Caenorhabditis elegans: one gene and its partners. The protein of the gene in region 4 purifies or fractionates together with the protein of the main gene of each other region. This does not show direct contact. Each region holds a gene or a part of one and is shown on either strand. Other genes may lie near its edges. The genes, in order: elpc-4, mcat-1, cest-10 and dhrs-4.

Evidence for each region.
Region 1: the proteins of dhrs-4 (region 4) and elpc-4 fractionate together in Caenorhabditis elegans (co-fractionation; one large-scale study listed by BioGRID). This does not show direct contact.
Region 2: the proteins of dhrs-4 (region 4) and mcat-1 fractionate together in Caenorhabditis elegans (co-fractionation; one large-scale study listed by BioGRID). This does not show direct contact.
Region 3: the proteins of dhrs-4 (region 4) and cest-10 fractionate together in Caenorhabditis elegans (co-fractionation; one large-scale study listed by BioGRID). This does not show direct contact.

What each region holds. Positions count from the first base shown.
Region 1 is NC_003282.8:8,013,035-8,020,292, reverse strand, and holds elpc-4 (Elongator complex protein 4), read right to left. Parts: upstream 3,300-7,258; 5' UTR 3,290-3,299; coding exon 3,154-3,289; intron 3,079-3,153; coding exon 2,668-3,078; intron 2,618-2,667; coding exon 2,160-2,617; 3' UTR 2,072-2,159; downstream 1-2,071. Other genes in the region: dnc-4 (Dynactin subunit 4), read left to right, coding at 505-608, 674-801, 847-964, 1,011-1,443, 1,488-1,729, 1,774-1,990; C26B2.7 (Cytochrome c oxidase assembly protein COX20, mitochondrial), read right to left, coding at 3,502-3,705, 3,760-3,862, 3,913-4,013; C26B2.8 (C3H1-type domain-containing protein), read right to left, coding at 4,656-4,849, 4,896-5,024, 5,075-5,210, 5,254-5,315, 5,360-5,518, 5,631-5,724, 5,770-5,891, 5,940-6,000.
Region 2 is NC_003280.10:86,593-95,728, forward strand, and holds mcat-1 ([acyl-carrier-protein] S-malonyltransferase), read right to left. Parts: upstream 4,928-9,136; coding exon 4,716-4,927; intron 4,221-4,715; coding exon 4,100-4,220; intron 4,049-4,099; coding exon 3,951-4,048; intron 3,621-3,950; coding exon 3,448-3,620; intron 3,397-3,447; coding exon 3,261-3,396; intron 2,849-3,260; coding exon 2,659-2,848; intron 2,447-2,658; coding exon 2,270-2,446; intron 2,157-2,269; coding exon 2,046-2,156; 3' UTR 1,937-2,045; downstream 1-1,936. Other genes in the region: C50D2.6 (CPG4 domain-containing protein), read left to right, coding at 25-55, 674-805, 854-1,166; C50D2.7 (putative ADP-dependent glucokinase), read right to left, coding at 5,851-6,010, 6,384-7,144, 7,194-7,413, 7,719-7,991, 8,570-8,664.
Region 3 is NC_003282.8:7,176,204-7,184,840, forward strand, and holds cest-10 (Carboxylesterase type B domain-containing protein), read left to right. Parts: upstream 1-4,331; 5' UTR 4,332-4,362; coding exon 4,363-4,582; intron 4,583-4,625; coding exon 4,626-4,732; intron 4,733-4,837; coding exon 4,838-4,946; intron 4,947-4,999; coding exon 5,000-5,095; intron 5,096-5,138; coding exon 5,139-5,283; intron 5,284-5,326; coding exon 5,327-5,518; intron 5,519-5,560; coding exon 5,561-5,811; intron 5,812-5,860; coding exon 5,861-5,946; intron 5,947-5,997; coding exon 5,998-6,264; intron 6,265-6,315; coding exon 6,316-6,582; 3' UTR 6,583-6,790; downstream 6,791-8,637. Other genes in the region: C42D4.19 (uncharacterized protein), read left to right, coding at 1-73; str-44 (Seven TM Receptor), read left to right, coding at 984-1,477, 1,524-1,590, 1,704-2,085, 2,129-2,220; dbd-13 (DB domain-containing protein), read left to right, coding at 3,059-3,194, 3,247-3,332, 3,379-3,621, 3,826-4,128; clec-179 (C-type lectin domain-containing protein), read right to left, coding at 7,209-7,272, 7,318-7,606, 7,654-7,824, 7,876-8,029, 8,079-8,186, 8,235-8,357, 8,453-8,494.
Region 4 is NC_003283.11:12,918,292-12,925,828, reverse strand, and holds dhrs-4 (Dehydrogenase/reductase SDR family member 4), read right to left. Parts: upstream 3,222-7,537; 5' UTR 3,209-3,221; coding exon 3,147-3,208; intron 2,934-3,146; coding exon 2,753-2,933; intron 2,694-2,752; coding exon 2,334-2,693; intron 1,894-2,333; coding exon 1,714-1,893; 3' UTR 1,673-1,713; downstream 1-1,672. Other genes in the region: pqn-67 (Clip domain-containing protein), read right to left, coding at 1-2, 198-288, 333-670, 719-852, 1,274-1,388; Lipase lipl-1, read right to left, coding at 4,235-4,354, 4,408-4,683, 4,731-5,359, 5,521-5,620, 5,730-5,822. UniProt on the Caenorhabditis elegans protein: Catalyzes the reduction of isatin, 4-oxonon-2-enal, 9,10-phenanthrenequinone, menadione, 2,3-hexaenadione, 3,4-hexanedione and 2,3-heptanedione.

The DNA of each region.
Region 1 (7,258 bases), on a different chromosome or scaffold from region 4:
ATAAATATGTTGCGCAATATGCATTCTTAGAATATCGTGTTCCTGTAATAACATACACTTGCGTCGACGACCTGCCAGCCCAATTTTAATTAGTATGTAAAATGCAATCTTCTCCCAAATGAAATCCCTATCCGGATTATAAAATATTAGTTAATTTGTTTTCTAAAATATTTGTAATTGATGTCAAGTCAAAGGTGTTCCATCCTCAATAACCTTCGTATTTATTTATATGCATTTTCAACATTAATTGAGTTTTCCGTATTCCAGTTGTGCGGGTACTAATTTCTCGTGCGAGAGACCATGTTAAAAGGAGAGAGTGCGATACTGTGGCCGAGAAATCTCAGCGCGGCCGAGGGACGAGATCGTGTTGTGAAATAGTTTTTTTTACAAAAATAATTATTTAAGTTTAACATTAATTTTTGTGATTAAAATAACATTAAACTGCTACTTTTTCAAATTTTCGAATTAAAAATTTAACATTTAGGAGCGGTTGCGGTTCTCAATATGAGCGAGTTGCTGCAGTACAGTCGAATCAAATACGAGTGCACCTGTGGAAAATTTCGAACCCTTCCGGACCTTGTTTTCTGCCGATATTGCTTCAAAATTAAGTAAGTTTTTTTAATGGGTAATTGTCTAAAAATAATTGAAAAAAAAAATTAACCAACTTTTCCAGGTGTGATGACTGTAGCTTGGGAGAAGTTGACAATATTTTCTGTCCTCGATGCCTTGAACCATCAAGCGTCCCTGAAGCAAGACTTAAAAAGCATAAATGCGCAAGTTGCAATGATTGTCCTAAGTGTGGTATGATTTATCCACTATTTTGTAAATATATTTGAATATTTTCAGCTAACGTTCTGAGTGCTCGTACAGAAAATGATAATGTATATTTGGTTTGTCAGTACTGTCGTTGGTCTTCAAGAGAAGCGAATCAAGAAGATCAAGAGAATACTAAATCCTGGCCAACGTATGACTAACTGTAAATATGATCTTATGACATTTTATTTATACAGAAAAGAAAATCCATTGGTTAATCAACTTGGTGAGGTGACGGCATACATGAAGAGACTTGAATTGATTGAAAATGCTCCAAAAGATTTGAAAAAGGGAAAATCGGGCAAAGCCTGGACTGCTTTTCACTTGAAAGACAAGTTTGGATTTCAACAAATGGTAGATAAGCGGAAAAAAGCACTGGCTCCTGAAATGAATCCAGTTGATGCACATGCTCCAACAGAAGCGCCGACTCTTGAAGATGAGATTAAAGAAAGAACGGATGATCTGAGAACTCTCGATCAAATCATAATGCAACCATTGATCAATATCTCTGAGCCACTCCTTCCTGTACAAGTTCCTCTGGCTGGAAGAGTTCAAGTTCGATGTGATGAGTGCGAAAGAACTCTTATCAAACGAGACTTCGGAGTTACTACCTTTAAATTTAAAATTTCGGTGAGTAGCTCATTCAACAATAATGTAAAAAGTTTAAATTTCAGTCATTTGCCCGTCAATTTGTTCCTGACATCAGAATGTCTCGACCGGTTGATGATCTTAAAGTTGGGGAGACATCACACGTATTTCTCTCTATTACCAACTTATCATCATCTGCAATGGATTTGACTATCGCACCTCAATCTGGAAATGGTTTCATTCAATGTTCCAGTGATCCAATCCAGCTTCTTCTTCCATCATCGCGAGCATCGGATACTGCTGCTCCTGGAGTTCATGCTGACCAAAGGTTAGTTTTTTCTTGTTTTTAATTGACTAAAAATGGTATTCCAGTGACGTCATCGTGTTCCGACAGCACAACCGAGTTGGCCTTCGACTGGATGTTATTCCCACCGAGATGGATCTCTCTTCTCCATGTCTCAATCTTTTGATTACATATTGTCAGGATGGATCGTTCCGTCTCTCCTCCGCTAGTGACAAAATATTGAAACCAGAAGAAACGTGTCCTGATCCAATTCTCTCTGCTAATTTAAAAGTAGATCTCAGATAATCATTTCATGTATATTTGTTTCTATCCTTTCTCTACCACAGCGTGTCTTTTCTTAAACATAATTTATAAGCTTTGTTAAATATTTAGAAGACGTTTTTATGCTTTAAATTAAATACTTTAAAATTCAACATTCAAACATCCCAACAACAAATAAACATGATCGAGAAAATCAAAAATCAATATTCTGGCAAGATGGAGTATTTTGATGACCTGGAGCTGGCTCATCAAATGCAGGTGGAAGATGCATCACTCGAATTTGGAAACCTTTTCTGGAACTTGCTTCAAAAATAAGATCGAGAATCGGTGGAGTGTGTGTTCCAACGGACATCAATCGGGGCAAACTCTTCAAATGGAAGTATCCATGAGCAGTGCCAAGATGTTTGAACATTTTCTTCTCATTTTCATCAAACGGCATCAGTTGAATATGTGTATCAGCTGCGGATTCCAGTATACGCCAAGTTGGTTTCGGAACTCTGAAGGAGTTAGCCGTGATGTATACAATCATGTAACTCGAACGAGCTAAAGATCGGAGACAGCACAGGAATCGGCCAAGGAACTTGTAATCTTCACAAATTTCCATATCGATATTCTTCAGAACCACTCGAAGAAGATTCTTTTTCGGTCCACCTGAAGTAAAATTCATTAGTTTATGTATAATAATTCAATAAAAATCTCACCTCTTCCGCCGGATTTTGTGTGAGCTTCATTTTCTTTTACAATTTGGCAGAGCGTCTCGTAAATCCCTTTTAGCGTAAAAACTTTCTCCGCATACACGTCAACATTCGGATTCTCTACATGCTTCGTAAAGTCATACTGATTTTCGTTGCTTAATGGTCCAAGGGAAGAGGAAACTTGTTTTACATTTCCATACCGCCACGCAATTTTCATCGAGTTTTCATTTTCTGCCGGCAGAGAATTTGGAATTTCTTGATTTTGCATATCCGTGGATGTTCTTCTAGATGGTATGAGATTGATCTCTTTGGGATCTTCCGTGGGATCCGCAATGAAGCATCGATGACCATGATGAAGTCCTTCTGCGAGGAATGAACGAATGAGATAAGATCCATAGCAACGAGAACGATACTCGTCTGAAAATGAATGTGATTTTAATTTTAGGTTAGCGGGTATTTAATGAACAGGTAGCAACTAAATTAATAAATTACCTATGAGAACAATACTTGAATTAACTAAAGCTCCTCCAATGAGTGTGTCAAATGAATCGCAACCACTTGAAGTTTCCAGTAAGCGTTTCTTTGTTGAACATCCGGCAATTTGAACACTATCACCAACGTTCAACATTCTGAAATTACTTTAAAAATATGAAATATTGATGTTGACCAGGAAATTACGATAAAAATATTTGCAAGGTTATTACCAAACCATAATGTAATTTGAGAAACAGAAAAGAAAAATGAGATTTAAACAAACTAATTATTATTTCTAAAAACAAAAATAGGGTTCTAACTAAAAAATATATAAAGAAACCCGCAATAAAACAATATGAATTATTATCAGACTACTCCAATCTTTTTTCGATCGTCTCCACTCAATTGCAGCTCCTTTCTGAGAGCTTCGCGAGCATCCATTTCCTGGCGTCGACCCATTACCACCTGAGATTTCACTGTTACAAACGCACCGAATCCGACAAGAATAATGATTAGGTAAGCCATCCATGTATTACGATGATTTTTATCGAGGTCATGTCGGCCGACAAGCTGGAAATCAATTTAAATCAGTTTTTAGAATATTCTTCAGTATATATAATTTACCTCTGATCGATAAGCCCATTTCACTTTCTGTCCTTGTATTGTCATTTCGCGATTTTTTTCTGCGCTTTTAATACGAATTTGTTCTTCAAGTAAGTCCATGTTTCTGAAAATTGTTGATTAAAAACTTGAAGGTTTAAAAAAGCATAATCTTACGTAATATCTCTCTGATCTTTAGTTCTGTGAAGCTTTGGATTTTTCACAGGAAGAGTACAGAGATATCGTTCAGTAGGAATACGTTGGATAATGCGAAGCATCTTAAAAAGGAAATTCAAAATAATTTTATAAAATTAATTTCCTCAAAAAAGAGGCCCCACGAAAAGGGGAGCAGAACGAAAAGGGGATCTGCAAAAAGGGGATCTGCGAAAAGGGGAGATACGAAAAGGGGAGATACGAAAAGGGGAGCAACGAAAAGGGGAGCTGGCACTGTGCCAAACGCACAAAACGCAATTTTTCTCACGCAACGCACGTTGATTTTTGAAATTTTCTTCTAGAAGATACGCTTAACAACACGCGACGCGTAACATCGGAGCATCGTTGTATCGTTTTCTTCGAGAAAAATAGCGTTTGGCACAGTGTCAGATCCCCTTTTCGTTGCTCCCCTTTTCGTATCTCCCCTTTTCGTATCTCCCCTTTTCGCAGATCCCCTTTTTTCAGATCCCCTTTTCGTTCTGCTCCCCTTTTCGTGGGGCCTCAAAAAAAAAGATTGTTGAAACTACGAGACTCCGAAATGACGGGCGCGCATGTTGTTTATCGTAAATAATCTAGCTTTTCGCCGCTAATTTTAACATTGTTTTTTTTTCTCATTTTAATTATTTTTTAGTAACTTTTTATCGTATGTTTCATTCTTTTTATATATTAAAATTTGTACATAAATAGGAATCTTAAGTTATTATAAATTAGATTCGTTTTCTATCGTCCTTTTTAGTAGAATATCCATAAAATGTTGCTGCAAGTGCCTGTGCAGGAAGTACATGGGCATATTCTTCAAGCCATTCTGTAAAGTTGAAATCATCCATTGCAATTCTAGCCAAATCTTTCTGTGTCCACGTGTCATTCTGCTCATAGAGCGCAAGAATCATGGTGTGCATTCCTTAAATTTTGTGTTTAAGATTACGAAAAAATATATTCGAGCTTACCAACTGGTCTATCAGTAGAATCTGGGGGTTGATAAGACACAGCAGACTTTGTTCTTCTATGAATCTCAAGCTGTCCATCAAATGCCGCAATATTTGCAACCAGCCAAGTGACAGCCTTTGAGGTAGCATCTGTCAATAACAATGCTTATTATACCTGTAATTAACTGTAGCAAAAAAACCTGCAAGTATAATTGTATAGAGCTTCTCGTCTTGAAGTTCAACTCCTGCTGACATGACTGGAGGATCTGCAAGTTTGTCCAGTATATCAGCGTCGAAAAGTTGACCCATCGATATTTGTTCGTCGCTAAAGGTTGCCTACAATCAAGTTGTTTAGTATTATATTCATCATTTAACATACAATTAGTTCATATGCCGGAGCAACTGGCAACAGACGAGGGACAATTCGATTCTCTCGGAATGCTGTAATAATATTATGTCCTTATTCTTTTATCTCAGCCACCTACTGTGTTCTGGTTCTCTGTATTCTAATGTTCTGTTAGGTTTGCAGCAAAGTTTAACCGAATCATCTCCGAGACTTCCCAGACATCGGTATCCACGTGGGCATTGCGAATCAACTGAATTCCCACATGGCAAGAGAAGAGTCTCATAGAACTTTGGACATGCTGAAAGAAGAATATTAGATCGTACCGGAAGTATGAGAGATACGTGCGGTCTCTTTGACACGTGGCGGGAGGAAGACGGCAATGTGTCAAAGAGATCGTCGCGTCAACTCACTCGGGATGTCGGCATCTTTCTTGTCCTCACAGCAGACATATTTCTGACTTCTTAATGAGTATTGGCATACCGCATTTCTTCCTGTTGGACAATCCTGTAATTGGTTCTGATTATTGAACTCTTCATAAAATAGACCTACGTGTTCTTCTGGATGGCATTCGATAGCTCTCGATGGTATTCTTAATGTTGGTTTACTCATTAACGGTTGTTGCCAAGGGCGAACACAATCCGAATTGGACCATCCTTTGACGAGGTGTGAATCTAGAATTTTCACTGTAAACACAGCCTAACTTTGAATTTCAATCTTACTGTATCTAGCACATAATCCTGCTGCGGGGAGAAGTAGCATAATAAAAACCGTGTTGAGCATGTTATCGATAGCTGGCAAAAAACAAATAAGGAAGACGGCTATGAAATGTAGCATTTCTCGGTGATTTATATACCGCGGAGCCCATGGTCGCACCTCGAGCAGGAAGCGTTTGTTTATATTTACGTGCCAATCCAAATCCGCTCGCAAACATGATGCCCAACACATTCTTGTTGACCAAACTTGGAATATGAAATCGATTTCCAAAAAAAAACTCGGCGTTATCTGACGGTTCTCATGGGTACTAGGATAGACAAAGAAAGGGTGTGAACGCAGGGAAATATCTTTTTAATCTGCCGATAATTACTGACCATTCTGTAGTTTCTCTTGTGTGCTCAATCTTTAGATCTTTGGAAAAAGTGAAGAGTGTATGAAGGCGAAGTGGGTGTGTAATACCAAGTAACCTGTATCTAACAGTAAATAGTTTTTTAATCGATTCTGTAATTGTTTGAAAGTCAACAGTATCTCCAATGTACCGTACCATGATGTTTCACAGGTGTCTTTACAAGTTGAAAATGTAGGTCAAAGAAGGTGATTCGTGAGTGAAGGTGGAGATTGGTGCACCTGCAATTAAACCGGAAGGCGACAATAAACAATATTACGGTAGCAAGTTGAAGTATTCTGTCTGAGTGTGATTGTAAGTGTGGAAGTGAGATTGTCTGGCAGCTAGATAGTTACTAACGAAATTATTAATATGCTCTTCCATATCAACAAGATGAGGGTCTGTTACACGTAGAACTGAAAACACATTGAAACATCATTGTGACCCAATTTTACACCTGGACTGATCTTTTGCTCCTAAATCAACTCTGCTCTTCGCGTTCCATTCCAGATGTTCCATCATATCCACACTTGCCAATTTAACGCTATTGTGTTGTGATCACCCACAGAGCAATGTACACCTGTATCATCTCAATTTTTATATTATGGATTGATATTTAGAATGCCAAATCTATGTTTTGGTCATTTATTCGAAGGTTAGCCTATTTATGAGAGTTTCCAATTGAAGTTTAGATTTTTACTAAATCTTCATGAACATAAATATCCCCTTTCAATTTCAAAATTGCAATTTCTCTCATCTTTTTCTCCCAAATTTGGTTTTTAAATTTAATTTTTTACATTATTAAACTTACAGATTTCTATCTCGACTAGTTTTTTACCAAAAAAAAAAACCTTTTTCAGAATCTAAAAAATCGTTCACAAAATTGTCAAAACTAATCTTTGATCTTTTGATCCCTACAGTGGGAAAATGTTTCCAGCT
Region 2 (9,136 bases), on a different chromosome or scaffold from region 4:
ACACAAATGACAATAATATTTCAGAATTCTTCCGATCTCTTCCATGCCTTGCCGAGTAAGTTACCAAGTGCATATATCATTCACATATTACATTTCAAGTTGAAAATGTATAGATCTCATTGGTAAATCAATTTTGATCGACGTCGAAGTACGTCCAATCGATGCAGGTGTCCCCAGCTTTGACATACTTTGATGTCGATTGGACTGACTTCGACGTCGATCAGAATCGATTTAACAGAGTCTTGTTTAGGCTAAGGGGTCAAGTGCAGCATGACCGAAATTTGCTTGGGGCGGGGGGAGGGGCGTCCCCATAACGGCCCTATTTTTCCCAAGCATGAATATTTGAATACAGATTTCCATTTAAAAAATTAATTTGAAAAATGTGACGTAATAATGGTACACATGTACCGACTATTCTGAATCGAGTTAAGTAAACTGACAATACTTTAATATAAAAAAAGTAATGTAGACATTTTTTGGTTTCCTGTAGTGTCTAGTTTTATTAGCACGGGAATACCTGCACCCTGGCTATGCTTACTTTCACGTGAAAAATTCTAAAGTTGTCGTACAATTAGCTTCCCGCTTTTTTTGAGCAAAGTAAGTAAGTATACCAATTGAACGAAAAACGAACTGCCTAATATCATCCAGGTCTTTCAGCATTTCTATTTTCTAGACACGAAAAGATTGCCCTCCAACAGTGCCGACCTCAGATCAATGATTCTCTAGCCGCAAGCAATCGATTTTCGGTCACAGTACTACGGAAGGAGCATCACAACCTGAGATCTCATTTCGAGATGCTCTGCAAGTAAGAAACTAGCCAATCCTTCAATACAAACTTAAATTTCTCTTTCAGAAAACTTGGCTCCATGATTGAATGTGTGGAGCCCGTAACACGAGCAGGCTGTGGAGATCAAGCGGCAAAGATGATGCTTCGATTCATCACTGTCGGATTTTCGAGTTTCGAGCAGCTCTATTCTCAACTGGGTATCTCCGATCAATTGCCCGCGGCTTGCAAGTCGCTGCTCTCACTTCAAAAACGCACGGTGCTCCCCGAGCGTCGCCATTATGTCCTCCCGCAGGCTTCTTCGGAGTACAGTGTCTTCAGTTCCACGTCTTCGACTCCGCATATTCCAATAATACTTTTCTCGTATCTCATCCTTTTTTGAAATCTCGCCTCATGATTTATAAATAAAACGGGTAAACTAATTATCATGAAACTTATATTTTCAACAATTAAAACTATAATAAATACAAACAATGAAAAGATCACTTCAGCAACTGAAATGAAAATAATTCTTGTGAGCCTTTTTCTATGTTTGAAAAAGCATGGCAACGAGCTAACGTCCTGCACTGACTTTGTAGAAACGGGGAAATACTTCGTTCAAAAACTATTAAAAAGTGGCAAAAATGGCAAAAAAGTGGCAAAAAATAGCATTTTTGAAACTTCTCTAAAATGGTTCATTTTTTAGCTAGAGGACTCAAAATTGATCTCCAAACCCTAAAAAATTGCCTTTTTTCATGGTAATATATGGTTTCAAACATTTTTAGAAAAATTATTTTTTTGCCCAAAAAAAAAGGACAGTCATTATGTGATGGCTGAAAAATCAAAATGGGCAAAAATAAAAAGTTGTTTATTTTTGTAGGGAACGGGTAATTCATACATGTTTAATCCAAAAAATCTAAGTTTAACCCATCAAAAACTATTAAAAGTGGCAAAAAATAACATTTTTGAAACTTCTCTAAAATGGTTCATTTTTTAGCTAGAGGACTCAAAATTGATCTCCGAACCCTTAAAAATGGCCCTTTTTCAATTTAATATAATTTCAAACATTTTTAGAATTTTTTTGCCCCCCAAAAAAAAGGACAGATGGCTGAAAAAAGAATTGGGCAAAAATAAAAAGTTGTTTGTTGAATGATTTTAGAATAAAACGGGCACTCATTATCCTGAAATTTATATTTTCAACAATTGAAACTATAATAAATATAAGGCTAACATAATATATAAGGCTAACATAAATATAACACAAACAATGAAAAAAATCAATTCAGCAACTGAAATGTGAATAATTCTTGTGAGCCTTTTTCGATGTTTGAAAAAGCATCGCACCGAGCTGACGTCCTGCACCGACTTCGTAGAAGCGGGGGAATGCTTCGTTCTGAAATTTTTTAATGTGAAAAATCCAAATTCTTCACCATATTTGAGTCAGCGCGCAAGAAAATGTGTTTTGGGGCGTTGAAGTTACAGTACCACGAAAAATTTGAAATTTACCTGATGTTTTCTGAACAGCGATTGTTGAATCTGTTCCCATCGAACCGGTGAATTGATTTGTTTGGCGACAGCTCCACGAACGTCTCCCTTCTTCGATGACATCACTTTTCCACTATAATTTGACCAGACATTGCACACCGGACGATGAATCTCCACGTTTTGGAAAGCTTTTGCCACCTGAAAACACAAACATGAGGAAAGCTTATAAAAACAACTTTATCGGAAAATACAGGTTCTGTTTAATATTTTTCTGTTAACCAGCCATGAACCGTACCTCCGGCGCAGCCCCGACTTCTGGGGATGAGAACTATTTTTTCTTGAACTACAGTACTTCTACCGTACCACTATGAAAAGTTATTAATTTTTGAAAATAGCAAAGAAGCACACACCTGTTCGACGGCAGACTCCATTTGTCGTGTATGAAAAGCTGCCGAAACTGCAAGTCTCTTCATCACTTGAATATTGTATTTCTCTTGATTTTCTTCCAAATATTTTAGGCACGTTTCTGATCCGCCAATTACTCGGACACCGCAATACAGATAGTTGGCAACTTCACATACAACAAGCTCTCGGTTTTCACTGGAAATTTGAACAATCAGGGTTTGGGTGGCCGTTCGGCAGGTTTTTTTGTTGAAATATCCGGCAAATCGGTAAATTGCCGGTTTGCCGTAAATTTTAAATTCCGGCAATTTGCCGGTTTGCTGGAAATTTTCGGCGATTGCCGATTTGCCGGAAATGTGCAATTCCGGCAATTTGCCGGAGTGCCGATTTGCGGGAAATTTTCAATTCAGGAAATTTGCCGATTTAGTTTATTTTCAAGTAAATTTATTTTTTCGCATCAAAGTTAATTTATTTTCGATAAAAGTAGTTTCAAATGTTGGAAAATAGTTTTCTGAAAATTTTCAATTTTTATGATTTCCGTCGGGTTTTTTGTACTCTTCCTGCAAAAACCGCAGGTTTTTTTTGAAAATTTTTGTGAGAAAAAACCTACGCCGCCACTTTTCTGGCATCTGCCATTGCCTTATCCAATTTCGATGCAGCTTTTACTCGAATCGTAACCATTCCACTCTTCACCAGTTTCGCGCATTCTGACATTGCTTCGGCTCTGGTTTTCACGATCTTGATAGCTGGAAAAGTCTAATTTTAGAAGAATTGAAGAAACACAAAAACCAAATTACCATCTGAAAAGCTCAAAACTTTCCCGGCAACAAGTGACGCATATTCTCCGACTGAAAATCCAGCTGTATCAGTCAGGTTTTCTTCGATTGACGGATCTGATGCTTTTAAAGCTTCAAACGCTGCTATTGATGACGTTACGATGGCCGGTTGGCAGTAAAGTGTTTGTTCAAGTCTGCAATTTTTTTAAATTTTTTCAGACAATATTATGAACAGGGGTGGGCGGCAAACGATTTTTCCGGCAAATCGGCAAATTGCCGGAATTGAAAAATTTCGGCAAATCGGCAAATTGCCAAATTTGTCGACAACCACATTGCCGAACGGCAATTGTCACCCACTCCTGATTTTGAAAATATGCTTGGCGATTCCAGAAGCATTAATAGTACTGTTTGAAAATCGAAAATTAGATAATATCGGGCAAAAAACGTATTTTTGCCGGTATTTTTTCACCATGAGCACAATTTGATAAAGATTTCTAATTTTTTCAGAGAATAATATTTATTACTTCTGTTTGGGACCATCTTGACAAACTTTGAGCATGTCATATCCTAGAACTTCGGATGCTTCATCGAAAACTCGCCGTGCCGCTGGAATATCCATCACCTGTAGAAATAAAAAATTGAACAATTGCGCCGAACATTATTACTTTAACACCTTTTGACCCATTCCAACAAATTGTGCTCCTTGTCCCGGAAATAATAGAACGACGTGCTCTTCGATGGGTAATTGACTGAAATCAATAGCTCCAGAGTCTTTCTTCTTGCGCGTTCCGTATCTTGAAAAATCAAAATTAACCGATATATGGGCTGACAAAGCTTATGGTGCATCGATCTCAACGATCTGATTCTTAGTACTCTCAAGACGGAAAATAAGTGATGGAACGTGATTTTATTCGGAAATACAGCGAAAACGATCGTAGAGTTGATTTTCTATAAAAATTTGAATTTTTGAAAAAAATTTTTTTTTGAAATTTTGAAAACAAAAACTCCGAACTTCAGAAATTTTCAAAAAAGAAAAATTTAATTGCCTATTTTATCCGTACCAGGCTCATCGGTATTTCGATCTTAAATTATTTTTAATGAAAAAAATTCAAAAACCAAAAATGTACATTTTTGGCCACATTTTTAATAATTTCCGGTTATTTTTCGAAAATTTAAAAAAGAAAAACTATTTTTTGCATGATTTTTCCGAGAAAAAAATCAAATAATAAAATTTTAAATTTTTTCGAATTTCCTTCATTTCAAAATTTTCAAAAAAAAACCAAAATTACCGAATTTTATTCCTTTCCTTCATAATTTCACTTGACGTCTTTTCAATATGCTCACGAAGTTGCTCCTCTGGGTACGGTAGCCGTGTCGTTGGATTAAGAATTACGTTGTGAACATCTGAAAATGTGACTCCTTCATCCAGAATCCCACCTCCTGGAGGTTTTCTTCGAATAAGTCGTGTGGAGCAACGAGCTATGTTAAATGGAGTCAGCATCTGAAAAAATTGTTTTTTTTGAAAATTAAAACATTTTTGTTTTTTCTTATATACTTGAATACAGTTGTGACGTAATTTTTCTACACTTTTTAATTTTCCGACACTACTTGAATAACCCCATAAGGTGGAGTTCCGAAATCTGACACTTTGCTTTTTTAGACTACCGAAACTAGACCACCGAGTGCCGAAACTACCCAAAAATTTTCATACTGCCGATAGACTACCGAGACTACCGATTAGACGGACATTTTAGACTACCGAAAAACTACCGAAACTAATAAGACTTTTTGAAAATTTCACAAAAAAGAAGTTATGGCGGTTCAAAGTTCTGGAAAAAATGTTGATTTTCAACTGGAATCAAAAACTTGGGTCTAAAAAAGCAAAATCTGAGATTTCGGTACTGCACTTTGAGGCTTTGTAAACATTTTTTTTCGATTTTCAAAAATATACCGTTTTTCAAACTTCAAAAATTTACTTACATAAACATTAATTTCGATCCAAAAATTATAAGAATTTTGAATCATCAAAAAGTCTAAAAATTTTCAAAAAAATATTTGATTTTTTTCTAAAAATCGTCAATTTTTTGATGAGACTACCTGAAATCGCAAAAAAATAGAAAAAATGGAGAAAACCACAAAATTCAAAATTTAGAAAAAAAAGGGTATTTATTACTATTTACATTTACAAAAATTACAGGCACATAATCATAACAAAATTCACAGAATCTTTGGGGGGAAAAGAGAAAATACATGAAAAAAATGGCAAAAAATGGGGAGAATGAACAAATTTTTACAATAAAGTACACGTGGTGTCAGAGTGTCCCATCACGGTGTGATCTACAAAAATGCGGTGAGCGAGACGCAGAAATCCCGCATTTCTTGTACATCAACCCGTGATGGGATAACCCGACACCATGTGAAAGTCTACCAATGAGTGGGTCTATTCAAGCGATAAAATTGTGAATAAAGAAGTCCGGTAGCAGAAATTGCATCATCAATTCCGACGGTTTTTGATGGTAAACGGCATACAAGAACAGGTGTGAACACGAATAGAACATCTTCACGCATCCATGATGCTATTGGGCTGGAAACAGATTGATAAGGAAAAGGAACACAACTTTTTCCCCCATAACTACAGTAATCCTACCGTACTCCTACAGTACCCCTACATTACTATTACAGTAACCCGACCTACAATCAAAGAAAAGTGGGAAAAATTCCAGATTTTAGCAAAATTTGGTTTTTTTTTTGAAATTTTGACCCGAAACGTTTTGGGCAACTTTTTTGTGAAGTCTCATTATGAAATTAGGTGGTTTTGGACAAGTTTCAGTCTATTTACGCAAAATACCCACAAATTCTACTCTCAGTTTAATATTGATTTTTGATAACTTAAAAGCTTTTTTGGTGTTTTTTTTAATTCGGTGTTTTTCTCTCAATTGATTCCTCTTTTCACATACTTATGAGCTTCAAATTGATAATTCTTCTCAATCTTCTTATCCAACACAAAATTCGCCGGAGTTCTAATTTCCAGCAGCTCCGAATCCATCGTATTTGCTCCAATATTACATGACAATCGACCAGCGATTCTGGCTCCGGCAGCAAGGCCAGCAGCAAGATTAGACCAATCTGTTCCAGAAGATACCATAATGTGATACGTGAGACAATGGAAATGAATTCGAGAGAGCCGGTATCCAGTTTTCGACGCAATTTGTCCAGTGGGATCTCTTCCATATGTCTTCAAGAGCCAATGGAGCATCTCTACAACTTTGTGCACATGAACGGTTCCAGCTTGTACCGGATATTCTTCCATATGTGGTCCATTTGCAATATGTGACAGGAATGTGAGCTCTTGCTCATTAATACCAAGAGAATCTACGTATGGTAGGATCTTATTGATAACATCAGTTGAGAAAATCTCATCGGCCAAACTTCCAAGCTCCAAATGAATCGGAACTTTCGGCGGGATTTGAAGAAGATTTCGCTTGATAAGCCTCATCTTTTCCTGTCGCATTTCTTTACTTTGAAATTCGAGTAAATGAACACCGGTGATAACGACAAGATCTGGACGGAATTGAGCGATTGCTTTAAAGAACATTTCCATAACCACCATCGAACCACTGAAATGATCATGACTTGTAATGAAGCGACTGCTACTCGGTGCCACCCAATCTCCGAGAATCTCTCCTTGCTTATACTCAAGAATTACGTGCAGCTCGTCCTGAAAACCACACAATTATATTCATTTTTGCGCCGACTCTTTCACATACTTTCAAAATTCTTGTCGAATTCGTTCGTTTGACACTGGGATGAAGAAGTGCTTGACTACGCGGCCCAATTGGTCCAACCAAATAGACTTCAGTACTTGGGAAGTTTGCAGCAATTCTGTCTGCCATAAGCGCAGCGTTTCCTCCGATATGATGGTGGGATCGGGTGGATGCTTCAGATTCGGCAACGAGAAGGTTGAATTGATCTTCTGATGACATGTATCTGAAACAAATATGATCTTATTGTTTGAAAAATTGAAAATCGAAAGTTCTTTTTTTTTGTAAAAGCTTCTCCTTTTTTTAAATTAAAATTGTCATTTTTAGAAATCCAATTTTTTCCTCGTCTCTTCCATACACTTTTCTACATTTTTCACAGATTTTAAGATTCATAATTTCATTTTTTTTTACTTTTCGTCAATTTTTTATATTTCCCTTTTTCGAAATTTAATTTTAAAAATGAAGATAAAATTTATTTTCCAACGTAATTATTTTCTATTTCACGAATCCAAGCTTTCGAAGAAATTCTACCTTTCGGCAGCGGCTCCTCTTTGGAAGAAATGTGCAAATGTTTGATGCAAATCTGCCAATGTTTCGAGTGTTTCCTGATCTTTTCCTTCTGAACACGTCGTGTTCAACGCATCGACCACACGAACTCCGCTAACAATCAGATCCACGTTGCAATTGAATCCTATAACTGCTTTTTTGAACATTGCTCCAGGCTTGACGATTGCTCGCTCCCATGATAAAAACATTGCCGTCTCAACTGAATACGACGAGAGACGATGTTGATCATTGTAGTAGCTGAAATATTCGATAAATATTTACGAAAATTTTAATTTTTTTATTTAGAAAACCTAAAACAAAAAAAATTTAAACGAAATATTTACGTTAGAAGTAAATTTAAAAAAGTCAAATTCTTATGAAAAAAAAAATTGGATTTCAAATTATTTTAAAAATTGATTTTGACGTTCTTATTGATTTTTTTGGAAAAAAAGTTCGATTATTTGGTGATTTTTAGAAAAAAAATCAATTTGTTTAGAATGTGTAATTTTAAATTGTTGATTGATTTTTCGGGAAAACGTTTTTTAAAGTTAAACATTTGAGCTTTAGTCATTTTCTATTTTTATTTGGTGATTACTTGGAAAAGATTCAATTTCAAAAAAATCAAATCATTTTTTGAGGAAAGTTCAACTTTTCGGTGATTTTTATAGAAAAATAATTGATTTGAATAAAAGTTAATTTTTTGTGATTTTCTTTTTAAAAAAATTTCTTTTTTGGAAAAAAGTTCAATTTTTAGTGATTTTTTTAAACCATTGATTTTTCGTGAAAAAAATAGTTTTTTGTTTGATTTTTTGAGAAAAATTTGCAATAAAACAGACCTATACCAATATGGAACTATGAAGAATAACACTGAAAGATGTAATAGTCGATGTTTATATGAAAATATTGACGGTACAAATGTTTCGGAAAACATTTGTGTGGCAGTGCTGAATACCTGAAAAATTATATAAAAATTGTGAGAACCTTTGGGGGAAAAAATTGTCTAAAAGATTTTTTCGATTTTTTATTTCAGTCGCAAATACGGAAAAAATACGACGATTCTAAAAAAAAATTTTCGTAAATTGGTTGATTTTGATGCAAAAAATAATTTTTTTAATAGAGAATCGACCGGAAAAGTTTAAAATATGAATGTATTTTTTTAATAATCGAAAAGTTGAGAAAACAGAATGCAAAACCGGTTTTTTTTTTAATTTTGAAGAAATGTTCATAAAAGGGGGAATACAGTTTGTGAGTATATATCTTCGTCTCTGATTTTTTTTCCAAAAATCGATATTTCCCGGGGATCAAACCCTTTTTAGAAACAAGGCAGTTGAACAAAAAAGAAAAAAAAACAAGAGTTTTTATGTGGAACTTAAAATAATTTAGAGAGAAGAATTGAATCTCGT
Region 3 (8,637 bases), on a different chromosome or scaffold from region 4:
AGCAGCTACGGTCCGCACTGATGAATCTGCTGAAATTGCTCTGCCTAGGAAGACATATGAACTCGTTATTTAAGTTGCTTTCATTAGCAACTGCGGGGACAGGAAACTGTCAAAAAACGTTTTTAATTTTTGGTATCGAAAACCACTTCTAATTAGCAAGAAATCCTTTCTAATTAGCTAAAAATAATTTTTCATTCTTGGTATCGGACCACTTCTAATTAGCTAGGAAGTCACTTCTAATCGACTGAAAAGCATTTCTAATTACGCTGACTCTAGAACTGGTCGAAATAGCTAATTAGAAATGGGTTTTTGCTAATTAGAGGTGACTCTATGTTATCTGAGTATGATTCATGTTTGATGCAAAGCTTTGCAATGGAAAACAAATCTTAAAATGTTTAGAGTAACTGAGCAATTAATAAAGTCCTACTTTTGTTTTAATGAGATGCTTGTCAAAATTTTTGAGGCGCATTCTCACTATTTTTCTCTTTTCTTTAAGCACTCTTCTATTTTCTTTAATAGTTTCCTGCTCTATATAATATCTTCTTTACAATAAACAACTGCTTCATTTTTAGAAATCACAAATATGACCAACTGTTACGAACAAGAACTGTTTGTCAAAAAAATACATAAATTCACATCTTTAACTGTAATTTTTCCCTGAAAAATTTATTATATTGTATAGGAAATGTAACATCTTTCATTGTTCATAAAAATATACGTGTTCGATAGTTGAGTTTCATGAGTCAACAATTAGAACTAAGTCAGAATGTTTTGAAATTTTTGAAATAAAAAGCTACGATTCAATAACTCCTATCTTGATTTTATGATTTTGACAGAACCGTCATCATTCTCATTACTCATTTTATTCTTTTCGTGTGGAAATTTCATGAAAAACAACTACAGAAAAAACTACAAATTTTGTTCTTAAAGTAACACAATAAAAGGGAATTCTTAGTGGGATTTTAGTCACACTTCCGAGCGAAATGCATATTTCTCATGAATTTTCATACACTTTCACTCAAATCGGATTTGTTTCTACGTTGATATTCAACTTATTGTTTCTATATCTCACTGCTTTTCATATTAAGAAAATCACTGGAACATACAAACTTATGGTCCTTATTTTCACTTTTATTGGAATTGTTTTTTCTGCTTGGGAGCTAGTTGCTAGACCATTTGCTCACAATTACAATAAAGCGTTGATATATTTTAGTCTAAATTCATGGCTACAGGAGTATCCAGAGTTTCTCCAATTTGCTATAATACTCTTTGCAAGCTTTTATTTGGTTATTTTGGCAATTATTGCTGTTCAATTTGCTTTTCGGTACTTCACTCTCTGTAAACCACATCTTTCCAAAAAGTTTGGTGGATACGGAGTTATAGTTTGGTTGCTCTATTCACTCATTTCTGGGTTTATATATGGAGGTGCATTAGGCTATTTCGGATATCCTGATATCTATTCAGATGATTACATGAGGTAAGAACTCAAAGAGCCCAATAGAAGATGTATTCAATTGTTTCAGTGACGTAGTTGAAGAATGGTACAACCGCACAATAACCAGCTTCCCGCGTTTTCTTATAATTCCTTACGTGAGTTTCAAAACTTTTTTAGAAAATTCTATGAAACTTTTGATCTCTAAAGATGAGGGATATTTAATGTAGCTTAATTGAAGATTATATTCAAATAAATTGTTGTATTTTAGGCAGCAGATGGTTCTGTGAGATGGCAGAATATTGATTTTTTGATCGTTGGAGTTTTTATTTTGGAATTACAATATGCCATAATTATTTATTGTGGTGTTCGAATGCATACAATTCTTCAAAAAGAACTTCAACAACAATCAATTGTCAACCAAAAACTTCAAAAACAATTCTTCAGAGCTCTTGTAGTACAAACCGTTGTTCCAACATTCTTGTTCGTGCTTCCAATAGCTCCATTTTTAATTGGTCCGTTACTTGAACCAATTATTGAAATCGGAATGAACTTTCCAACTGGATGGATGTATGTTATATTGACTATCTATTCACCTATTGATACAATCGCATTTATGATGATTGTTCAAGAATACAAAAAAGCTTTGAGAGGTTTGACTGAGAATTTGGAACAGTTGAAATTATACTTTTTCAGAAGTTTTTCATCCAATTCTTCCTAAGAGAGTCAAGGTAATGAGCGAACTTACTATGCCAACAGGCCCAACGTCCACTTCCCGAGCAATTTAATTTGATATGAAAAAGCCTGCAAATCATTTTTGTTTGTGCATTTAATTTATTCATTCAGATTAAGAACTTTATAATTCCAATAAAAATGTTTATGTGATCTGTGTTGATAAAATTTCACAAATCAGAACACAATAGGAACAAAAATTTTCAACTGCGAAAGCACTATTATGAGCAAAATATGAATCATACTCATGAATTGAGTCACAACCAAAAAAGTAGTGAAAATAATATAGTTGATGTTATAGTTGATGATGTATGTTATAGTTGATGATGATGTTATATTTTTTTGGCTATCACAGTTTTTAAAAGTTCTCACTATTTTTCTTTTAAAAAAATCATAAAAATTCAACAACATATCCAGTTCGGTTTATTCGGCCGGCATTCAATTTTCTGAAACTTTTAAGTTTGAACGTACGAGAAGCTTATCGTGTTAAGCATCTCCCATTTTGAATACAAACCGACAAGAAGGAAAAGATTAATCCTAACTTTCTCCAAAGTATTTTACTTTACCATTCATAGTTCTATTTGCTTACTCATCTCTTCATTTTATTCTCTACTTTTCAAAGAAACAAGTTCAGGTGTCAAATAGTTTCTCTGAATCACTATTCGCTTTTCGTTTAAGCCCCCTTCTTTCCACATGACGTAATTTCAATTCAAGACTGCCTGGGACTCTCATCATTCCACAATCTCTCACTTCACAGTGTAAAGCTTCGGTCTTCTTTTCCTCTAAATGCCCATTATGTCCTTGTAACCTTCAAGCGATTACTCATCAACAGGTCCCGATGGTATAAAAGGGAATTGAAAGGGTCAAATGTCATAATCAAACTATACAATAAACATGACTTCCAGCTTTTTGTATGTTCTTTTCACTGTTTCTTGTTTGGCAGCACTTGTCTCAATTTCTGAAGCATGCTTCGCTTCGGGAATCTGTGGAGGAGGATGTCCTCCACCACCACCTCCAATGTGCTCGGGAGGTAAATACAAAAACTCTTTCTTTAAAATAGAAATTGAATTCTTGATATTCAGGATGTGGAGGTGGATACTCATGTGGTTCATATGGATGTTATAGAGCCAGAGCTCGAGGATCAAAGACTCTTTCTTTTAAAAAACCAGTAAGACTTTCAATCTCACAGAAAATTCTAAAATTATCAATTTCAGAGTGAAATGAACCCAGATGAGAGATTCATGAAGTGCTGTGAAGATCGTAACCTGCCAGACTCTTGCCTCTCAAAATGCTCTTACCGTTCATACACCAAATCAGCTCTTCAATCAATGTACTTCAAGCAAGACTCGTGCCCAATGCAAGCAGCCGCTGACATTCAATTCTGTGCTGCTCAAGGAAAAGATCACACCGCGTGCTGTGCTAGAAATGCAGTTGGAACTACATTAGCTGGTAATAAGGTCAGTTAAAAACCAGACTGTGATTAGCTAGACAGAAATATCTTCGAGGGCGAAAACATGACGTTGTTTGTTTTGAGAGAATACATCATCTTATGCGACTAAAAATATATTTACGACATCTCACTCAGACTAGTTTTGAAATTTAAATATTGAGCAATTCAACAGTATCGACTGAGAACAATAAATATTTTATGAAAATTGCAGTGCTTCACCTTCTGTGACCAACGTCCAGGAAACGTCACTCAACTTGATATGAGCTACTTGGCTTGCTATGACCGTTTCGAGAACATGAAAGCCTGTTTCTACCAGAAGGCTTCTGAAGCTTCCGATCCAATAGTCTCATTCAGCAATGATCGTGACAACAACAGAGAATTTGCAGTTGACACTGAAACCGCCGAATTCCGCCGTCCATCTCAAGAGCACTTCAGAGCCCCAACTTCTCCACAACTCCCACAAAACCCACTTTTTGCTGTCCAAAACTTGCTTGCCAGAACTTTCGGACAATAATTGACACGAATTGCACCGGTTTTTGTACATTTTGAGTTTTGTATGAACTGATTTGATTAAAACTAAATAAATTTTATAAGTCTGTATGAACTACAAAAAGGAACAATTTAAAACTACATACTTCACACATCTGCCAATCAGTTGTGCATATTATCTTATCAGTCTGCGTCTCCTATCATTTATAACAATCTTTTTGGACGTCCATTTGTTATCATTACAATTATAAAGTAAACCATGCATTTACTTCCTGGTATTCAAATTTTATTTTTATTTTCATTTTCTTGTTTTGTTGATTCTGTTATAGTTGAAACTTCTCTTGGCAAACTGAATGGAGATCAAATTGGCAACTTTCACTTGTTCAAAAAAATACCGTTTGCGAAGCCTCCGCTGGGGAAATTACGGTTTCAGAAACCGCAACCTGCCGAAACATGGAATGGCGTTAGAAATGCAAAAGGTTTGTGTGCTTATGGAAAATGAAAAATTATGATTTATTAAAGACTACGGACCAGCATGCATGTCAAACTCATCGACAACAAAAACTGTTCAGAAATGGGTTGATGAAGACTGTCTTCACTTGAATATATTCACATCTGAAACTTGTTTGGTGAGTTGTAGAAATCTTACTTTTAAAAAATAATTAAAAAAAAAGGATTATCTGCTAAAAGATCTTGAACACCTCTGAAATTTTATACATTTATAACCTTTCCAGAAATCTAAAAACTGTGCAGTCGTAATATATCTACACGGAGGAAATCTGCATTATGACTCGGCTGTAATGTTCAACGACACTTTCCTTCTACACACGTATGCCAGCCAAGGTTGTTTTTTCAAATTTAATTAAATAAATTCCATAAATAAATCTAAATTTCAGAAATAGTTTTTGTGATTCCCGCTGTTCGTCTTGGTATATTTTCTCATTTTGTGGTAGAAGATCAAAGTATTGCTCCAAACAATTTAGCTCTATTTGGTAACATTTCTAGCCATTTTTATTTCAAAGAAAACATTTTCAGACATGCTTCAAGCAATGGAATTTGCCAAATCGGATATTCATAATTTTGGAGGGAATAATAAAAGGACAACTCTTTTGGGGCACTCGTATGGAGGAACGGTTGCGTCTATGTTGAGTTTTAGTACCAAAGTGAATACAGATCTCAGGTAACTTTAAATAGTTTGTTTCAAGCATAAAATCTGATTTCAGTCTATTCCAACAATACATCAGTATGTCATCACCTACTAACTTTGATACTTTGGAACTTCAAGTTGAAAGAACTTATCGATTTGCGGAACATGCAAATTGTCTTCCAAAGAATTCGAAATTTATGAGGAAAAATCAAAAAGAAGTATACATGAGAGACTGTTTAAAAAAGAAGAGTGCTTCTGAATTACTCAGGTAAAATACAATATAAACAAGTTCACACAGTCTTCACTACAGAATTCAACGAAGTCTTGAAGAAGCTGGATATCCAGTTTATGGAGGATCCGTCATGCGAGGGCCTATTTTTCAAGAAGTTCTGGAACGAGATTTTATGGATTCTCCGAACAATATCACATCTTTAACAGGATGTACAAAATATGAATCTTTAGTTTATGATCACTATCGTAATATGGGAAAAGCTTTGGGATTTGAAAACTATGAAGAAGTCAATGAAAAGTATCGAAGTGATAGCAAGGAAGGAAAAATAGGTGAGAGTTTTGAATTATATATTTACTCTTAAAAATACTAAATATTCAGAATTTGATAACGTAAAAAATGCAACTCAAATAATGCTGATTCAAATTAGGACGAGAGTAAATAAAATATTAAAAAAGAACATTCCGGTGAGCTTTTAAATAAAAAGTTACCTCAAATAAAATTAATTGGATTTCCAGGCGTATCACTACGAGTATGCTTACCCGAAACATGCCAATCATACAGATGATCTCTTTTTCATAATGGGCGTTCATCCTTTTATTCAAGACGAAAATGAGATTAAGCTAGGAAATTTTTATAGAAGCATGTTTTTAAACTTTATCAAAACCGGGAACCCGGGAAATGGATGTGATGGTGCAAATTTGAATGGATCAACATATTTTGAAGTTAATTGGAATGAAACTACCGGAGAAAGACCAGTGATGAAAAATAATTTTGAGCAAAAGGTAAAAACAAACTGTTTACATGCCAACTCTAAAAGTAAACGTATATTTCAGATACTGGATTACTGGACCAAAAATATGATAGAATTCGATCGAGAAGTATCATTATTAAGAAACATTAAATCTCGGAGACAACCAGCATCAAGAGTTTTTTCAGCATATTACAGCTTTATGTCATTTCCTCAAACTCTATTTATTTTGTTCATTATTTTCTCATCGTTCGCTACAGGATATATAGCTTCAAGAACTTGTAGTATTGCTGATCACGACAGAAGTTTATATGTCCGATTAGATGGAACGGATTATCCAATTAAAAATTAGAATGTGTGTACATTGTTTGATTGTAACTATTTGAACTGTTTTCCAAGCCATTCCCTACTTGCCATTTTCAAATGTTTGAATTCCTGAAACAACTATATTTCCGACGTTTCAATATCATCAAATGTTGCCAAAAATCTTGAATACTTCCTTGTCGAAACTTTTTTTTGTGTCAATCGTAATTTTTCAAATAAACACGTTATCACTGCTCAATTTGGCATGTACTAGACATTTGATGACACTTTTCTTGAAAAACTAATTTTTCATTTAAAAAAACATTGTCTATAGCTGATAGAAGAGAATTTTATGTTAATTTTATGTAATAGAGTGTTCGAAATATCGTACGTTCTTAAAATTTGCAGACATTTTTCAGTTTCATCTGTATTTTTTTGATGGGGAAAAATTAAAAAAAAAACATGTCCAACGCTTTTCGATTTTTTCGAGGAAAAGAATAGATATTTAAACAATTGACAAACGATTTAATGCTGAGATCATCAACATTGATCCGCAGATTTGAGCGTTTCATGAGAGAGTTTCATTTGGATGTCGACTTAAACAAGATCAACAGATCAACATACTTTATGTGAAGTTAATTATTTTCAAGCATTTTTCAAAACATCAACGTAAAATTAGCCAGCTTCTTTTCCACAAGCGAATCCTTTAACTGGGGCGTCGTCGAGTACTTTTGAACACCTGAAATAGTCGCTTCGTTTAATTGTTTTTAAAGGTGAGACATACATTTCATCATCGATAGTTCGATTATTTGCTGTAATCCACAATGCAAGACAGTCCTGGTGAGGACCGGAGTCTGGGCCTAACCTATCTGGATTGTGTTGTTCCCAAGTGTATCCTTGTTTTTCCAATAGAAACTTGTCCTCGAAATCAAACCCGTCGAAACTTACACATCCCTCCTTTGTATTAAAAGTTAGCTTTTCTTGACATGTTACTTTTCTGACACCGTCTATCCATATTCGCTCGGTAATCTTTGGTTGAGAGGGATATCTTTCTACAAGACTGTAGGCAGTCTCTTAAAATTAAGATATGATACCGGGAAACAGATACAAATAGGCTTACTCCAAATATGATAAGTTTCATTTTCTGTTTCCAGTCCAGTCAAAGCGGCATTATATTCGTTACATGCCTTACTTGCTTCAACATGAGTACCATCTTGTCTGATAACTTTAATACACCAGCTGCCACGGGCCCTGTCAAAGTGCTCCCATTGAGGAGGACAACTCTTCATAGCTAAAAATTGGGCTTTTATGAAAATGTAAGCATAACTAGAAATTGGCATACCACTGTAGGAAAAATTCAAAACATTTCCATCCTCAGAAAGTTGTGTTGAATATTCATATTGCGTCAAGTTGGAAGTATTGTTGAAATGCCCATTGATAGTTCCTAGTTCAAAAGGAGTACACATGCTTTCAGTTATCGGGTCAAGTGAAACTGTCTGGAAGAACATTTTTAATTTATCAACCATATGCGCTAACTGTCCTAACTTTTAACGCGATTATCATGTTTCCACGGAACCTTTTCTGAATATGCATAAGATTTTGAATACTGCACAGTTGACATTCATTCGGCGTTGTAAGATTTGCTTGAGCAATCTAAAATCTTAAATTTTGTATTAATTGTTGTAAAATTTGTCAACACACCACACATGTATCATTTTGAGCACACGAAGTAACACAATCCTTCCACGTCTCCTTCTGTGCAAATTCTGTGTCAATACATGTCATAAGAGCTCCATGATGAATAATCATTGTGTTTAATGCATTCTGAATTATGAATGTTTACTCAGGTAATTCTTTAGCGTACTGCAAGCTAGTTAACTACTTTGCAGAGAAGAAGACTGGAAATATCTTTGACTTACATTTGTCGGTATAAAACAGAGCAGAGAAATCCACCACATCATTTTGTGCTCGTAAAAATGAAAACAAAAGAGATTTCCGTGTATGGTTGTATATTGAAAAACTCGTTCTACTTGACGTTTCTGAGGTTACCAACAAAGAAAATTCTTGGACCACTCGTGAGTTGTTCAGAATAAAAATTTATGTG
Region 4 (7,537 bases):
TGCTGAAGGAAACTTTTTTAAATTTTGGTTTTTGTTTAGACCCCCTCGCTCTACTCACTTTCAAAATGTTCAGTATTTTTAAAAAATATTTCTAGTCAACTTTAAAAATAATAATTGGACCTACATAAAACCAAAGCAGATCAGTTTAAAGTTACGGTATGTGGAAGTTTTCTACCGTGTAAATTTTTTTGGCTCACCGTAAAATAGCAGTCTCTCAAGCGATTTCCATAATCAATTAGAACTGTTTTATCTGGATCATTACATTGAGGGCGTCGAGATGGTGCAGATCTGAAAATTTTGAGATGATAAAAATATTTGTATGTTAAACTAACTTAATAGTGGTTGTAATCAACATGGGTGGCTCTGTGGTAGTAATAATTGGTACTTTTCTACTTTTAGTTTTTCTTGGTTTCACAGTCGTTGTTTCAAATTCCCATTCAATTTCTTCTTCTTCGTCTTCATCACTTGATAGCTTTCTCACTGATTTTTTCTCTTCAATTTTCAAATCTTCTTCCTCTTCTTCATCAATTGGAAATATTTTTTCATTGTCCTCCTCATCAATTGGTGCAACTGTAACTCCCGGTTTTCGTTTTGACATTGGAGGTTTCACAATTTCAAGTTCCGATGATAGTTCAGATTCTGGATTGCTTTCAGACCAGCAACAATAGTCCTATAAATTAATTGATTTCTTAGCAATGGAAAGAGTATAAAACGTTACCTGGAATCCAGGAATCAATATAGGAAACCGTTCACAAGCTGTTCCTCCAGGACAGCTTGTCTCATTGTAGACTCCTAGTTGTTGGGTACACAGTTGTAAATCACCACTGATTGGGTGAATATACACTTTGTTGCCTTGAAATAATGAAGATTTTCAAAACAAAATTCAGAAATTAAAATATAAAATGGATTTTTGAAATCAGATATTAATACCATTTTCTGAAACTAGAAAGCCTGGAAAATCGAAAGAATTGGGGCATCCAATGCTTGTATTTGAATAATTATTTTTCATTAATTCTAGGACTATTTGAATTATAAGAAAGAACTAGAAACGGAAAAATGAATATTGAAAAACGAGCTCCGAAAACCCGAGCATAAAATAAGCGAGCCTACTAGGATCAGACAAACTATTTTTATAATTTCCAGAATTAACAGTTTCTTGGAATATTAAAAAAAAACGTTCTCAAATATTTTTGAATTCAAAATACTAAACAATAATTTGGGAGCAAAGAATTGGTTCAACTTGAAATTCTCGAATGAAAAATTCAAAACATACCTGACGGGCAATGAATTCCAATTCCCGCATCTGCGAATATTTTCATAAACTTCTTTGCTGAAACAGTTTGGGAAACGGTGGCGATGGCAAGCCAACAAAGAAAAATTCGTTGCATCTGGGCACATCAAATGGGACGACGAATGGCAGCAGACTCAGTGTCCACCAGGAGACAGTGCAAATGTCAGAGCGAGGCGGATTTGGAGCGCCGCCGGTCAGAGCAAATAGTGTCAAATCTGCCTTCTTTTTCTTCCGATTTCCTCCCGAATTATTATTTTCGGTTGATTCAGACCGGAAGCAAATAGAAACTATCATTAGGTGTTATGAATTTGGGTGTTAAGGGTGAAAAGGTGTTATGAATTTGGGGAAAAAAAATGAGCAAACAATTAAAACAACTTAAAAAGCAAATTGCAAATGTATTTATTGAAAAGATAATTAAATAGCTAAAGACGAGCTTGAACACCTCCAGCAATAATAATCATTTCTCCTGTAATATATGATGAATCATCAGATGCCAAGTATGCTACAGTTCCAGCACAATCATCTGGTACTCCGAGTCTTCCAAGAGCAATTTCTTGAATATCGGTGAGCTCCTTCTCTGCGTCTTCACCACCATCCCAAAGCTGGAAAATATTTTGGTAAGAACTCGGCAAATCTCTCGTCATGGAGCGCGGACGGGGCGCGACTAGATCACGGGTTCGCGCTCCAGTCACCCTTTTTTTCGCGCTCCTTACGCGCCACGTCCGCGCTCCAATTGCGTTTGCTCCGCGCGCATTCCGAATTTGAAAAATTCTTACGAAATTTTATGGGACGCGATCAGAGCGCCAACGAGGCGCGAAAGGAGCGCGAAAAAACGTGTGACTGGAGCGCGAACCCGTAATCTAGTCGCGCCCCGTCCGCGCTCCAGGAGGAGCGATTTGCGGAGAATATATCCATGAATTTTGAACTTTAAGCTAACAGCTCAAGAAAACCTTTGAGCAATTTTGGAGAAACTAAATTGAAATTCACACCATTTGTATATCATTAGATTACTAAAAACTAAATATTTGAAACAAAAACTTACCACTTGGCTCATTTTAGTTTTGATAACTCCAGGAGCAATACCATTAACTCGAATATTATCCTTGGCCAATCCCATCGCCAATGCCCTTGTTAACCCAACAAGAGTAGTCTTGGTCACACCGTATGCAGCAATTCCTGGTGGACTTTTATAGGCGGAATACGAGGCGTTGAAGATAATTGCTCCACCACCTTCTTTGGCAATATGTGGATGTACAAGTTTTGTCATTTGGAATCCAGCCTTCACATTTACCTCAAACAGCTTATCCCAAACTTGATCCGAAACTTCGAGAATGTGACCAAATGCTGGGTTAATTCCATGGTTATTCACAAGAATATTAATTTTTCCGAACTTTTGAAGAGTCTAAAAAATAGATAAATGTATTGAAATTGTAATTTTTCTTTTTAATAAATATATCTCACAAAATCAACAAGTTTCTTCTGATCATCAGTGCTTGCAATATGGCCAGCAATTCCGGCAACTTTCGTCAATCCTTTGTTCTTTAAATACTCAATTGCTTCATCAACATTCTTCTGATTTCTGCTTCCAATAACAACGGATGCTCCTTCATCCAGTAGTCTTTCAGCAATTGCAAGTCCAATCCTATAAGTTATTCAATTTATTATTTCAAAGCTTTTATAAAAAATAGGGACAATTTTTATAAACACTTTAGAAACATGTATTGATTTTCAAATGAAACAAAAACAATTGCGAAGATATATTTGAAATAATAATTGGTTTAAAAAAATTACTGGAAAAACTTTACCAAGGATTTCTTCGAACAACTTAGTAATTTTCCAAAAATCATTGTCTCACCCTTTAGTCGCTGCAGTCACAATTGCAACCTTTCCTTCAAAACGGCGGCAGTTGCTAGGCATTATTACTTATTTTCTGAAAATTGTATGGAAAAAATGTTCTAAATGAAATACGTTTTCTTAAATAATGTAAGTGAAATAGACGAAAATGCGACCATTTTGAAACAAAAATACAAAAAGTGGTGGTTACAATGATAAGATCACTACACTATTCCCTTCAAAATAGGCTACAGTGTAGTGTTCAGGAGAGTGAACAGATAGCAAAAACAATATAAAATACTTGAAAACTGTTTAACAGATAGAATTGGACAAAAATTAATTAATGCACTTTTTTATGTTTAGATATTGAAAAATTACTTGATAAAAATTTTGTTTGACTTTTAGTCTTTACCACGTAATTTTTTTGTCCTCGACTAGCAGTCTACTATAACTACCATATAGAAGCTAAGAAAAATCGCAGCACAAAAATACAACACAGCTTATTTTTCACTCTAATAAGAAAGTTAAAAATTATTATTAAGTAATCGGAAATACAGAAGATGAACTAAAAAGAGTTATGAGATAACATTTTTTAAACAGTTTGTTGCAGGAACGACAAACTTTGTAATATGCCGTCCTGGACCATTTCGTCAAGCTCGCGCGCAATAAACCCACACATTCAATCCAAATTCAAGTCAAAAATTTTCTTTCATCTGTTTCGTATGGAAAGTTCGTGATGTTCTTGATTGAAATTTCAATGTGTTAACCGTGTGACTCCTTATCAATTTCGTCATCTATAATTTCTTGATAGCAAAAATTTATAAGGAAACTGAATTCCCCCAGAGATCACATCAAATGTCAGAGACACACTTTATGTGTTAATGGAATACAGTAACTTCAAACAAAGCGTTTGATAAAATAACATTTTGAGAACATTATTATGTTCTTTTAACCGGATTGAATATTACTTATCCAAATAATAATTATAATTAAACATCTGAAATAAAAGTATCACTTCATATAATTTATTATTTACAATTTCCGAAAAAAACAACGTCACAATTATGATATGCTGGCAGGATAAAGCTTTTTTGCGGTTGATCTTCTATTTTAGGAACCGTTCAAAACATCGTTTCTCACAATATCAATAATTGGTTCATAGATGTCTTTCGGTGCACGGAGTCCCCAGATGAAATCGAGATGGTTGTAATCGATCAACTTATTGTTTTGCTGAAAATACATCAATTTGAAAAAAAAATCATTCAGAGTTTACAGAGTCTCACCACAACAGTTGATGGATTCAAGTGCGTTAGCAAGAAATCTGTGACGTCGGTCGGGTCGGCAAGCCAATCAGAATCGCCCCAGTACAAATAGACTGGTCGGTTTACAGTAGTGAAGTCGTATGCTGGAACATTTGCTTGTCCGTAATGTTTCTTATTTCCCTTCTCTCCATAGTCATATTTTGGAGTGCCTCCGTGGCGGACCATTTGAATCCAGTGAACAATATTTTGAGTAGAAGTTCCTGCGGGTGTATGTGCCACATAAATTGGAACACGAGTCTGTAATACAATTAATTTCTCATCACCTTTCCTGCAAAAAAACTTACTGCGTTAAGCTGGTTGGATTCCGGCCCAGCAATGAGGAACATCACATCGTCACAAACTCCAGCTTCAACTTTAAGTCCAGCGCAAACCGATTCAGAGACAAGCTTCATAATCCAATTGTTTGGAAGGAATTCACCAGAACCAAATACATCAAACCATCCATCAAATTCAAGGGAAAAGTAATCAGCAAAGAATTTCAAAGCTCCTTTGATATGTTTAACAGATCCAACTGGAGCAAGTGCAAAGAACTTTTTAATTTTATTTCCCCATCCAACTTTATCCTCAGAAAGTCTACTGAACATTGTAAGTGTGCCTTGTGAATGTCCAATATAATATAGACTATCTTGTCCAGTAACTTCTAAAGCTTTCTCAATCATTGCTGGCAAATCATATTGTTGCATTTCATCCCATGACCAATCCCAGAATGCCGAGTGAGATGGTTTCAAATTCTTGTGTTTCATACTGTATGTGTTTCCACGGAAGTTTCCAAGCCATACATCATAACCAGCGTCAGCAAAAAGGAATGCAGCGGACTCCGTTGGCAAATTGACAACCCAGTTGGATGATGAGCATTCAAGACCGTGTTGCATGAAAACTACTGGTTTCTTTCCATTTGGCCATGTGACATTTGCTGAAAAAGTGAACTTAACAACATATATAATTTTTTTTTCGTTTTGTTTTCCTTATATACAAAATGAGACGTTTTTTAAAGAACTGTAAGAGAACTGTGTAGAATTGTTTTTTGTGGTACTTGAAGTTTGAAAAAAAAACACAATGACCTGGGGCACTCACTTTTTCCATATGGAATTCTGTGTAATTCCAAAATGTATCCATCTTCAGTTGTTACATCGTATATCATTGCAGGATATCCCCATCGCATGATTATTTGTGGCTGAAAACTAATGGATAATTTCGTGCAAAAAAATTATTCAGAAAAGCAAATTTTATTTTTTAAAGAAAATATTGGTTCATAAGAGATTTGAATCCTTCCTTCTACTTACCGTGGTCATCTTCATCTCCGGATCCGCATCATGTCCGAAAACAGTGGCTGCTGTGGCAAGCACAGCCAACATAACCGTGCTCCAGGATCTCATTTCAACCAGAGTCTACCTGAATAAGTTCTCTGTTATCAAACACGTTGTCGGCCATGCTTTTATCACGATTTTCCTGTCCTTAATTTGTGCACAATTATTACTGTGCCCGCCCATTTTTCCTGTTTCCTGACACAATTTGAAGTTTGATCTCAGGAAATAGACTGGTGCAAATGAGACAAATAAGAAATAGTGAAGGTTTGGGGAGAAGTTAAATGAAATTAACACATTTTGATGAGAAAATAGTTATCTGAGTAACAAAGAACGAAAAACGCAGTCACGGAAAGGAGTCGTAGTTTTTGGTACATGTATTCAAATCAACAGTTACTGTGACAACTTTCCTGTATGATAATTGATGTGTGCCAGATTGAACATAATATTATTCTGACAATGTTTTAGTAAGTCAGGAAAATGAAATAAAGAAAGTTTCTGAAATATTTCCACGTGGTTTTTTAAAAATTATTTTCATCGCTTTTTTATTATGTTTCTCTGCAACGGAAAAATATTTTTTTCCAATTTTTCGACGAAATATATTCATTTTTAGTTTTGATGCACTAATAATATCACAGATTAGAATGGACAACACAACTTTTTTCATGAAAATTATGATTTTGACTATGTTTCTCTGCAACCGTACCAAACCTTAATCAGCATGTGTTTCATGAGAAAATGTTTGTTGACCATTCAAATCCGTGATCTCGGCAATTCGGCGCCACTCTTAAACCAACTTTGCCAACATCTGTAAATGGCAGTTGAAAAGTGGCCAAAGTTGGTTGAGAAGTGGGTAAAGTTGGTTTAAGAGTGGCGCCGAATTGCCGAGATATTATACATACAAACTACAAATTACAAATACAAACTTAACACACAAACTAAATATAAATGCAATTCGTGGAAATAATTTTAAATTTAATTTTTGTTAAGCTTGATCTCTTTTAAACATTCCTATGTACATCCAAATTTGTGAAAATTTATTGATGGACTTCGTGGCGAAAGTTTCAATTTTTATTGAAGCTATAGCTTATTGGGCGTTAATAGTAGTTAAACACTTTTAAATTTCAAAATAATACTGGCCATAAAAAAAAGATTAAAAATACAAAAAACAGTGTATGAATTGTTAATGAAACACCGTTTTTGAACCATTGAGCACATCATTCCTCACAATTTCAATAATTGGTTTATAGATGTCTTTTGGTGCACGGAGTCCCCAGATGAAATCAAGATGATTGTAGTCGAGAAACTTGTTGTTTTGCTGAAAATTTACTCAAGAAAATATGATGGCAATAGTAAAACTACCAAAACAATGGAAGGGTTAAGATGAGTCAATAGAAACTCTTTAATGTCTGTTGGGTCGGCAAGCCAATCAGAATCGCCCCATTACAAATAAACTGGACGGTTCACCGAAGTGAAATCATATGTTGGAACGTTTGCCTTAATGTTTCTTGTTTCCCTTCACTCCATAGTCGAACTTCGGAGCACCTCCATGCCGAATCATTTGAATCCAGTGCACGATATTCTGATTAGAAGTTCCTGCTTGAGTATGTGCCACATAAATTGGGACACGGGCCTGAAAATGCTAATTTAAAGAAGTGAGAAGAATTAACGTACTGTATTAAGTTGATTCGATTCTGGGCCCGTAATCAAGAACATCACATCATCACATACTCCAGCTTCAACCTGGAGACCTGCGCATACTGATTGAGAAACAAGCTTCATAATCC